Linked DNA regions of Canis lupus familiaris. The protein of the gene in region 3 purifies or fractionates together with the protein of the main gene of each other region. This does not show direct contact. Links are inferred from orthologs where the notes say so. Each region holds a gene or a part of one and is shown on either strand. Other genes may lie near its edges. The genes, in order: COPG2, COPG1 and COPA.

Region 1 (3,745 bases), on a different chromosome or scaffold from region 3:
TTAAATTCAAATCAATGTTGATAATCTATTATGTGCTTAGCTGGTCTAGTACCTCATGAATAAAACAGAAATATATGTCATAATCCTTGTCCTCAAGAAGTTTTACATATCATCACCTTAATCAAACACTATATACTTTTAAATTGAGTGAATTTTAAGAAATTAACTATACTTTCCAAAAAGTACTTCACTGAATGTTATGTATTTCTTTTCCAGGAAACAAATCTGAGGAAAATCAAAATAGCTTACTTGGTTCAGTAAGTAAAGAATCTTTGTAAGAATATGCAAACATCTTCTTGGATTGATGGGTGTTTCATTGAATATGCGAGCCTGTGGGAACGAAAAACATTTTTAAACAGCATGTTTTCTGTCATTTCTATCATATTACAAAAGATCAACTTTAATCAAATAGACTATTACATATTTTGATCACAACATCCACATAATGTTAGTTGCTTACAGTTTTCAATTTATCACAGTATACGATACACTTTGGTCTTTATATTCCGTCTATACTAACTCCTTCCCTTACATCTAGTACTTCAACTTTATGGGCGTTATGTGTGTTAAGAATCGTAATATTTATCTATATCATCTGAATATAATTAGCTTAATATCTTTAACTTCCTTCAGTAACCTTGTGCTAAACATCTCTTTGGCATTTTACTTAAAATTATCAACATGTGGCAGAGTGTCTACACAGTTTTGCGTTTCTGTAAGCTCTAGACCCTCCTATGGTAAGTTAACCCCTCTTCCTCTTCCCTCAGGTCTGTATTTTCCGAACACAATTATTACATCCTTCAATTCTTATTTCGGGTCATCATATTCCGGAGGCTCTCTGCCCACCATTCCAAAATGGAATAGAAAGAAAGAACACAATATACTTCCAAGTCATACCTCCTGTAAGACAGCACTCTTCTCCAGATGCCGAAAAGGATTGGAGCCACTACCTATATCATAAACAAAAAATGTCTTCAATAGCTGTCCAAGACAAACTTACTGTCTACAGAAGGGTACTGAATGCTTGGGATATCTCACCTAGATGAAGCGACCACTTGGATAGCACAGTGACAAGCGTTACTAATACACATATGAACTGAATAAAATCATATGGATTCTGGTACTAGCTGTCGTTGCTAGTTACTGAGGATCTTGCACTTCTCTTTTGCACGATCCCTGCCCAAAAAGAGTGTCTTCTTTCCTTGTCCTCTTTTTATGGGACTGTTGCGAGCCTATGTTATGTTCACACAGCTAAGATTAATGAGACTGTGGTAGGACCCTTTTGGATTTCCCTGAAAGACAAGCGCTATCTTCCATGTTTCCAACAATTACTTCGAGGCAGAAAAGAGTTTATAGCCAAGAATGCTGTCAAGCTGGAAGGGGCCATGGAGATTTACTAAACCCAAACGTCCACCACACCATGGGAGAGCCGAACCAAACACTGAGGGCTTGTGCTTTGGGAGTTGGGGGGTTGGGCGGGGGGGGGGTGTTTTTAGGTGGCTTGGCATCTTCCCCACTCGCTCTGGATCAAAGTTGGGTCTCGAGAACGCCACTCGAGCATCCTCCGTACCGTGGGCCAGTCGTAATCCCCTGGGAGGCGGACACAGCTAAGGTCCTCGGGCAGGCTGGAAGGGCCAAGGCGCTTCCAGGTTCATACACGCGCGCGCGCGCACACACACGCGCACACCCACGCGCACACACACGCGCACACTCGGTCCCGGCGGACCACCTCCGGCGCCCCCAGCGCGCGTGCACCCGCCCCTCGCCGCGCCGCGGGCCCGCCTCCTCGGCCTGGAGCACCCCCCGCCCCCCCCCGCGGCGCGGCGGAGGCGGAGGCGGAGGCGGAGGCGGAGGCGGCTCCGAGGGGCTGCGCCCGGGGGCGGGCGCGGGGGCGGGGGCGGGCGCGGGGCGCGCGACCCGAGGGGAGGCTCCGAGGCCGGGGGAGGGGCTAGGGGCAGGCCCCGGGCTGCAGCCGAGCGGAGCCGAGCGGGGCCGAGCGGGGCCGAGCGGAGCCGAGCGGGGCCGGCGGAGGGAGGGAGGGAGGGAGGGAGAGAGGGAGGGGCGGGCTCCAGCTCCGGCCCCCTGGCGCACCGGGCGCCCACGCCTGCGGGTCCGCGGCCCCCGGGAGCAGGTGGCGGCGGGCGGGGAAGGGGCCCCGCGGCCGAGGGTGGGCGTCGGCAGCCCAGCGCGTACCAGACTCCTCGTCCTTCTTGTCGAATTTTTTAATCATCTTGGACGACTTCCCAGCGCCCAGACCCACCGCAACCGTCCAGGCGCCGCAGCCGCGAGCGGAAGAGGCTGCAGGAAGGCCGGCCCCGCGCCCCGGCGCCGGTTGGGTCGCCGTCCCGTCACTCGGGGAGAAGGCCCGCCCTCCCGGCTGTGGCGGCCGCGCCCGTCCCCCGGGGCCGCGGCCACGCCCTCGCCCCGCCCGCAGCCGCGCGGAGGCGGGGCCGGCGCTGGGCCCCCGGGGTGCGTCGCGGCCCCTGCGGGGCGGGGCGGGGCGGGGCGGGGGCCCACGGGGGGGGCGCGGGGCGGGGGGGCGCGGGGCGGGGGCCCACGGGGGGTCGCGGGGCGGGGGGGCGCGGGGCGGGGGCCCACGGGGGGGCGGGGGCGCGGGGCGGGGGCCCACGGGGGGGCGCACCCGCCGGCCGGCGAGCCGCAGCGCCAGCCCGGAGCGAGCACAATGCGGTTTTATTTGGTCTGCGCGCCCTGGACGGCGCCTGGTGCGGCCCCCGAGCCTGGGGAGGCGGCGGCGGCCGGGAGGGTCGCCTTCACTGGAGGGCAGCGGCCTTCCTGACGATCCGCTGCGGGGCCCTTCCGTCGCGGCGGGCGCGCTCCCCGGGCACAGGGCTGGCGGGTTCCTGGTTCGGGAGCGAGGAAAGGCTCGGCGGTGCGCGGGCCGCCTCGGAGGTCGGCACGTCACTCCCTGACTTGGCGACTGCAACAAAGCACGGGGCCCCCTGGTCAGGGTGGGTTTCCAGAGGGTCGAGAAGGACGCTCAGTGGGAGGCAGGAAAGAGACCCGCTTGGAGGGACGGAACAAGAGGGCAAATGTTGGACCACGGACTACCGCGCCCAAGCTTCTTCACACTTCTGGATTCCTTCCGTTCATCAAAACCCTGCCAGTTCAGAGAGGCTTCCCGGTGTCATCCCACCCCTTTCCAACGATCCCACCTGCAAGCACGTTGACACTTAGAGAACTCTCAATAAGGCGCATTCATACTCCTCGTAGCCTTCTCCTAAAGTGTGTGTGGCTTTCAGGTTCTCCCGTCTGAGAGTGTAACTAAGAAACTGTTTCTACCTTTGGCTTCAGTGTCATCACTTGATCCAGATTCTCTTTTAACCTCTGCCTGTACTTGGAAGCTTCCACCGTGGGCTCTTCTTGCTTCCATCCCTCCACACTTTTTTGATGCATTATGTCTTGCCAATATCTCTTGAATCTGTTTGCTCCTTCCTACTGCCATCACCTTGGTTCAAGCCCTACCGTCTATCTCTTCCAGGGCCCCCTAATCAGCCCCCATCTACAACATTCTCTGGGTAATCTTTCTTTCTTTGGTTGCCTGGCAAACGTGGAACGTGACTGGCTATTGGCAGAACGAGGGTTTGCTGGCAGTCCCTTTTGCTTGAAGTGGAGACATTGTTTCAACTTCTCAGCCCCATGGGCTTTCTTTAGGGAAAGCATCAAAAGGAGCCCTTTAGAGTAAAGTAAGTACTCAACTTTTCTTGAAGGAAACTGTAAAATCCCC
Region 2 (3,745 bases), on a different chromosome or scaffold from region 3:
CCTCCCCACATTCTTGGTTCTTAAGAACAGAGATTATATTTTAGTCACATCTGCCGCCTGAATAACTCAGTCTACAGCAGAAACCAGTGATTGGTAAGCAAGGCTGTCTGTATACCCCTGCACTCTATTTTTCTTGTGTTCTCTCTTGGTACTCACTAAAGTCTTTGTGAAAGTTCCAGGGTGGCTCAGTTGACTGAGAGGAATCAAGGCAAGGAAGGGTTTGTGCTCTAAGGTAAGGTCAGAGAATTAAAAAGGAAACTGCACACTCCGGAGGCTGCCATGGGGTAGGCAGCAGTAACACAAGGATGAGGGAGACAAAAGAGGAAAGGGTGCCTGGTATTATATTAAACAAAATCTCATTGCCTGATACACAAGAGAAAAAAACGGCCTCTGTGTCAATGGCCTCCATCAAGGGAACCATCATCCATCAACCTAAGACTCACCTGCTGGTGACGATAATAACATCCTCAGCGATGCAAGACATCTCCTTGATGGTCAAGTAGCACATCCGACGGAGCGTGGGCTGGAAAATAAATAGGAAAAGTCCTATAACTGACCCGTGGCTCAGCAAGAGGGCCAAGGTAAGGAAAACTCCAACCCACACAAAGGTAGACCATACTGACTGAGGGCACTTACGTCATTGGACTGAAAGAGCTTGGTCATGGCAAAGAAGGCCTCAGTTGCTTCAGTGGTCCCTAGGTGCTCCCCCTGTTTTAGTCGAAAAAGAAAGTCTCAGTGTGGGGCAGAGAGGCCAGAAGGCTCTTTCTGCCAGTTCAGCCCAGGCCAGATCCTCAGACCCTGCAGAGGCAAGGGCACCAAGGGCAATACATCAGAGTTAGACATTGAGGAGACCCAGAGCTGGACAACCATCACACAGGAGCTGTCAGATATCTGAAGGGCTATCTTAGCAACCCCTCCAACAACCTCCAGCACCATTTCCCTCACCCCCCAAGTTCCATCCTTTTTTTTTTTTTTTTTTTTTAGGATTTTATTTCTTTATTCACGAGAGGCAGAGAGAGAGAGACAGAGGCAGAGGCAGGCAGAGGGAGAAGCAGGCTCCCTGCCTGATGTGGGACTTGATCCCAGGACTCCAGGATCACACCCTGGGTTGGAGGCAGGCGTTAAACTGCTGAGCCACCCAGGGATCCCCAAGTTCCATCCTCTTACCTGGTTTATGAGGTAAAGGATCTTGGTGAGGATGTGCGCACATTTTCGAGGATTGATGGGAGTTTCATTAAATACACGAGCCTAATAAAAAGCAACCAAGAACATTACTTTCTAGCCTGGTTTATTTCCTTCCCATTGATTGCACTCAAGCACATTCAAAATCTGAGAAGTCCCAGGGTAAATAAATACATTTGCCTAAAAAGCTTACTTTCATAAGGAAACAGTGTTGTTTTGTTTTTTCCTTAATTCATCTACTAACCACTCCTCAAATCTTCCCTAAATATTAGTTAGGGATGTGCTGACTTACTAACAGGTTTTTAATAAACACTTGTTAAGTAGAAAAAGAAACAGAGAGCAGGAACAACAACAAAGGCGAGCATAATGAACTCTCTCCAGGAAGTTTTCCTGTCTTTCCAGGAACAGGTTCCTCCCTTACTGTTCTTTAAAGCACCACTTTAAAGGTGTTAGTATTTTGAACACGTTGATTATGAACACTTAGGATGGAGAAGGTAAATGATACTTGCCTCCTGGAGTACTGCACTCTTCTCAAGATGCTGGAATGGGTTAGAGCCTCCACCTACAGAGCAAAGAAGAGTGAGTATGGGTTGGAAGCCTAAACTGCAAACCTTGCAGACATAGAGAAGGGAAAGATGTCACTACTGTCTACCTAGTCAAGTTCAAATTACTCCAGAAGGGCAATCAAAGCTCTACAACTTGCACATAGATCCTACCACTCTTCTGCAGGGAGCTCCTTCTACCCGAAACCACTCGGTCACCCAGCAGCCCTGGTACAGTCCTTCTGTGCTTCTCAGTGTGGTGTCTTGCATTCATTTATGCAACTTGTACTTAACTGAGTCCCTACAATGTGTGGGGACCATTGTCTCCTAGTGACGAGGATTTCTTCACAGCAAATGTCACATTTGTAATCAATTACGTGTGTCTTTATCTGGTTGGTGTCTAGCTTCTCCACTAGGCCTGTGACTTAATATTCCCAGATGAAGCCCTGAGGGTCTCATTGTTCTACTACAATCTCGGGATGCAATACAGTGCCGGGCATTCGGCAAGCGCTCAACACATGTTTACTGAATAAATAAATGAAAGAGGGTTCTTAGCCACAGCACTGGCTCCACAGATTACGCTCCCGTTCGGCCAGCAGCAACGCAGCCCCGTGAATCCCAAGGGGTCTCACTGAGAAAGCCACCACGGTGCATCTGGCCGGGCCCCTCCTCCTAACAGCTGGGGAAACCGAGGCCCCCAGAGGCGCATGACCCACCCAAGGTCACCCAGCGAACTGTGGTCGAGCCCCCGAGAGGGGGCAGCGGAGCACGCTCGGGCTCTCCAAGGCCTGCCACTGCCCCCCTGCGGACGTTGGCACAACCCCTGCCCACCCCCGTCCCCGGGTCTCGGCTTCCCGTCGAGGAAGGGGCCCGGAAGGACGGCTCCCCGGGCGGGTGCAGAGAGCCTGCGCGAGGGTCCGGCCTCCCCCAGCCTACGCCCCCTCACCCGACTCCTCGTCTTTCTTGTCGAATTTCTTCAGCATGGTGGTGCCGGCGGGGCGCGAAGCAGCAGCCCTGTGGCAGACCCGTGCAGCAAGCGGCAGCGACCCGGGGGCAGCTCCGCACAGGCCACTTCCGGCCAGCCACGTAGTCCCGCGTTCTGCGCACGCGCAATCTGCGCTCCGCGCACGCGCACAACCCGGAGCTACGCCCGGCTTTAACCCTCTCCCTGCCGGGGAGGAACAGGGCTCAGGGCCGGGAGTTGCGGGGGAGGGCAGAGGCCTCGGACTCGGGCTGACGTGTACCCCTGCCGTGCGCCTTACGTCCTCCTTATTTGTGCAATGGGAGCAGTCGTTCCCCCCTCCCTGCGTTGTGGCGTTAGTCTAAACGGGCTTCCCCAGGTGAGGCCCCTAGCACGCCCGCCGCGGTAGACACCCAATTGTTAGCACTTACTAGGGTCACTTCAGGGAGGCCTTGCTTTCAGTCTCCTAACCGCGCCGGATTTGTCTCCCTAGCTCGAATCACCATCTAACACACTGCTTTTTTACTTTATTGAATTTATTGTCTTTTACTCACCACCGTGGATAACGGTGGCATATAGTAGGTGCTCAGTCAATTCTTGAATGAACTTTCGTGCATGAAATGCATGAACTTTCTCTTACTAATTCATATCTCCCCCTCCCCATCGCATCTAATCATGGTGCAAATTGTTTTTAACTTTCAGGGACCTAAAGTAAAAAAACAGCCTAGAAACTTCAAGGTGCTGTTTAAAATACTTTGGATGTTTATCAAGCGCTTACCAGACGCGCCGCCCTACCGCTGGAGGCGGGAATGGACTGAAAGGGGAAAAAGGAACGTCCTCCGCAGTTTGTCTACCTGGGCACCTGCGCGGGACACAGAGGCTCAGGTAAGGACGGTGCGTGCCAGCGTCCCGAAGTGCACCTGGCCGGCAAGCGCGAGCCAGGACGGCCGAGGACCTGGAGGTCGCTGGAGGAGAGGGGCGGAGGGGCCTGCGGCACAGCCGGAGTGGAGTCAGGGGGAGGGCCAGGCTCCAGGGTTAGGCTTTGCGGAGGCGGAGGCTG
Region 3 (3,645 bases):
TCATCTTGCGAAGTTTCTCTAGGTTGCCAGTGATGAGGTACAAGAAAGAAAGTTTGTCAAAGTTCTTGGTGCGCTGATAACACATTTCTACAATCTGGTGGTTCCCCTGTAGCAAGGCCACTTCTCCTAGCTTTTCCCAGCAGTTCTTGTCATCCAGTGCTTTGGCTGCTTCCAGAGCAATCTAAAGAATCCCGAGGGTCAGAGTTAACAGGTTGGCAGATACTGTGACTCAAAACCAGGGACTACAAAGTATCTGCCTCTACATAAATTTCCCACAGGCTCTCTATAGCTGTAATCACTCCCAGTTTTCAGTTTAATTCTACTGAAAATTCCTACCACCACACAGAGTCCCTCTGGCTCCATGGAAAGAATCACATCACACTATCCTTCTCCTCAGCAATTTACTTTTAGGGGATCCCTGGGTGGCTCAGTGGTTTAGCGCCTGCCTTAGGCCCAGGCCGTGATCCTGGAGTCCTGGGATCGAGTCCCGCATCAGGCTCCCTTCATGGGAGCCTTAAAAAAAAAAAAAAAAAAAAAAGATGTTTACTTTTACAGAAAATAGAACTAGAAAATTAACTCACCTAAGCCCTCCTCCCATTTAAAAATAATGCCTGTACACTCTAGGTCCCCACTTTTTTTTTTTTTTAAAGATTTTATTTATTTCTTTGACAGAAAGAGAGTGCAAGCTGCGTGCAACAGGCAGAGGGTGAGGGAGAAGCAGGCTCCCCACAGAGCAAGAACTCAAGGTGGGGCTTGATCCAGGACCTTGGAACTTATGACCTGAGCCGAAGGCAGACACCTAACCAACTGAGCCACCTAGGCGCCCCTCAACAATTTTTTAAGATTTTATTTTATCGTTAGGCAGGCTCCGCATCCAGCCTGGAGCCCAACACAGGACTTGAACTCACTAAGCTGAGATCGAGTCAGATGCTGACTGAGCCACCCAAGTACCCCTCCAGGTCCCAATATATCATAAGTACTACTACATCTAAGCAGCCAATCAGGAAGTAAAAGGTGAAGGAAATAATGAGACTTTTCAGATTCCATGCTCTGTTCCTCCAATTCTAGAAGTTAATGAATTCAGAATGACTGATAATGATGACAGTAGCAATGCTATGGCAGAAGCAGAGACAGGAAGTAGCAGAGATGGGCAAACAGCAACAGGAAGACAGCTCTACCTAACAACTAAAAAAATCTCAAATTGCATCATACTTGCTGAAGAAGAGGCCTAGAATAATGTCCTCACAATGTGACCATAACCCTCTCAACCTTCTCTGCAATGACATGGGGCTCATGACCACGTCTCCCTCACCTCAATATTTCCACATTCGAGTGCCAGACTAAAGCGAGTTTTCTCATCCTTGACGAAATGCAGTGCCACTTCCGGGTAGCCCTTCTTCTGCAGGTAAGCAATGATAGACTGGCCTACTAGTTTGGCATTCCTCACCATGTGCAGTACCTAGACATTTGGGGTGGGGTCGGGCAGAAAAAGAGATCATGCAGAGGAAAAAAGGGAGTGCCAGCCCTCTCTCACACCCCCCAGTGTGCACTCTCGTTTATACCTCATCATATTTTCTGTTGATCAGGGCCAGCTTGAACTTGAACTCAGTGGGATCAATGGTGAGCACTCGAGGACGACATTCCCGGTCCAGGCAATACACATTGTTGCCCTTCACCCGCGTAACATAGATTGGTAAATCCAGGGTTCGGATGATTCCATAGTCCCTGCAAACAGGAATTAGAGGGCACAAGTTTCAGCAAGTGATGGGGAAAACACAACCTGTAAGGACCTGGAACAAGCCAAGGACACAACTTTTCAGCTTGTCACTGCTCTTTTGCCAAGTGCTATTTGCACAATGGTATAGATGGGAAGCAAGTCAAAAAAGAACAGAACTAAATGCCACATTTACTTATTCTTTTGTATGAAGTAGGAAGAGATGGGGCACATTATATGATCTCCCTTCATAAGCTATTATTCTGGAAGCCAACAGACACGGCTACAGGAATCAGACCTAAAGCTAAATCTTTTTTTTTTTTTCTCTCCCTAAAGTTAAATCTTAACTTCTAATATATAGTCACCGGGCCAGTTAAATCCTTCCTTGCAGCTACAAGTGAAAGTAGAAGAGCAGGAGATGCAAACTTCTGACACATGAAGAAATAAACAAAAAGCAAAAATATTTTAAATTGAACAAAAATTAAGAGTTTATCAAACTGGGACGCCTGGGTGGCTCAGTGATAGAGCATCTGCCTTCGGCTCGGGGCACGGTCCCAGGGGGTCCGGGATTGAGTCCCACATCAGGCTCCCCGCAGGGAGCCTGCTTCTCCCTCTGCCTTGTGTCTCTGCCTTTCTGTCTCTCATGAATAAATAAATAAAATCTTAAAAAAAAAAAAAGTTTATCAAACTTATGGGCACAGCTAACACAATACACGACTGATAATCTAGGATGCTAAGTGCACACACTGTACTAAAAGAAACACTGAAGACTAATGAGCTCTACATACATACATTAGAGAATCAATATAAGACAAAAAATTAAAATGTAGTGAAAATTAATAAGCACTTGGCTCAAAAACTTTGTTCTTTTAAGTTAAATCAAAGAATATACTTAAAAAAAATGAAGCCAATCATAATTTTAAGAAATGGAAAACAAAAATACAACACAGAAGTTCAATAAAGGCAAAAGCTAAATAAAATTGATAAACCTCTCATTAGGCTAATTAAGAAAAAAGAACAGCAAAAATAGGAATGGAAAACGGGGTATTCCTCTGGCTCTTGTAGGATGAGGATAGGCATACACTTTTTTAAATGATCAAATTCCAAGAAAAGTAAAATTTACCAAAACTGACTAAAAAGAATTAGAAAACCCCATACAGTCCTGTAACTATTACACAAGATAAACTGAATCATAAAAAAAATCTTCCTATAAAAGAAAGCCCCAGGCCTGGATGACTTCACAGGCAAATTCTACCTAACATTTCAGGAAAAAAAATTTTTTTAAAGATTTAATTTATTCATGAGAGAGAGAGAGGGAGAGAGAGAGAGAGAGAGAGAGAGAGGCAGAGACACAGGCAGAGGGAGAAACAGGCTCCATGCAGGGAGCCTGACGTGGGACTCAATCCCAGGTCCCCAGGATCACACCCTGGGCCAAAGGCAGTGCTAAACCGCTGAGCCACCCGGGCCGCCCCATCTCAGGAAGAATTAAATTGAAATTTATTACAAACTCACTGAGAGTTGTACTCTCTGTGTATTCTCATGAATAAATAAATAAAAAATCTTAAAAAAAATAAATGAATTATCCTCGGTAATTTTAGGAGCTTTTCATATATTTGAGTATGTGTCCTCTGTTAGGGCTACACATTGCAAATCTTAATGTCTCTTTCCATTCTGTAGCTTGTCTCTTGATTCTGTTTATGATACCCTTTAATGAACAGGTGTTCTTATTTTAATATTGTTGAATTTATGAATCTTATCTTTTATGGATATTAGGTTTTGTATTTCATGTAAGAAATCATTATCGACTCCAAGGTCATAAAGGCATTATTTTATGTTCTCTTGTAGAAACTTTATAGTTCTGTTTTTATATCTAGAACTGTGATCTCCTTGAAGTTGATTTTTGTGTGGCATGTGAGGTACAGGGAGCTCAG

Evidence for each region.
Region 1: the proteins of COPA (region 3) and COPG2 fractionate together in Homo sapiens (co-fractionation; 4 studies listed by BioGRID and IntAct, with this or other methods). This does not show direct contact. The link is inferred for Canis lupus familiaris from reciprocal best matches to the Homo sapiens genes COPA and COPG2.
Region 2: the proteins of COPA (region 3) and COPG1 purify together in Homo sapiens (affinity purification with mass spectrometry; 6 studies listed by BioGRID and IntAct, counting the BioPlex papers as one, with this or other methods). This does not show direct contact. The link is inferred for Canis lupus familiaris from reciprocal best matches to the Homo sapiens genes COPA and COPG1.

What each region holds. Positions count from the first base shown.
Region 1 is NC_049235.1:6,177,719-6,181,463, reverse strand, and holds the start of COPG2 (coatomer subunit gamma-2), read right to left. Parts: upstream 2,329-3,745; 5' UTR 2,231-2,328; coding exon 2,194-2,230; intron 951-2,193; coding exon 898-950; intron 670-897; exon of another isoform or gene 461-669; intron 331-460; coding exon 250-330; intron 1-249. Other genes in the region: TSGA13 (testis-specific gene 13 protein), read right to left, coding at 2,772-2,938. UniProt on the Homo sapiens protein: The coatomer is a cytosolic protein complex that binds to dilysine motifs and reversibly associates with Golgi non-clathrin-coated vesicles, which further mediate biosynthetic protein transport from the ER, via the Golgi up to the trans Golgi network.
Region 2 is NC_049241.1:2,885,439-2,889,183, forward strand, and holds the start of COPG1 (coatomer subunit gamma-1), read right to left. Parts: upstream 2,826-3,745; 5' UTR 2,708-2,825; coding exon 2,671-2,707; intron 1,745-2,670; coding exon 1,692-1,744; intron 1,249-1,691; coding exon 1,168-1,248; intron 709-1,167; coding exon 637-708; intron 524-636; coding exon 444-523; intron 1-443. UniProt on the Homo sapiens protein: The coatomer is a cytosolic protein complex that binds to dilysine motifs and reversibly associates with Golgi non-clathrin-coated vesicles, which further mediate biosynthetic protein transport from the ER, via the Golgi up to the trans Golgi network.
Region 3 is NC_049259.1:22,751,635-22,755,279, reverse strand, and holds part of COPA (coatomer subunit alpha), read right to left. Parts: intron 1,726-3,645; coding exon 1,563-1,725; intron 1,460-1,562; coding exon 1,313-1,459; intron 182-1,312; coding exon 1-181. UniProt on the Homo sapiens protein: The coatomer is a cytosolic protein complex that binds to dilysine motifs and reversibly associates with Golgi non-clathrin-coated vesicles, which further mediate biosynthetic protein transport from the ER, via the Golgi up to the trans Golgi network.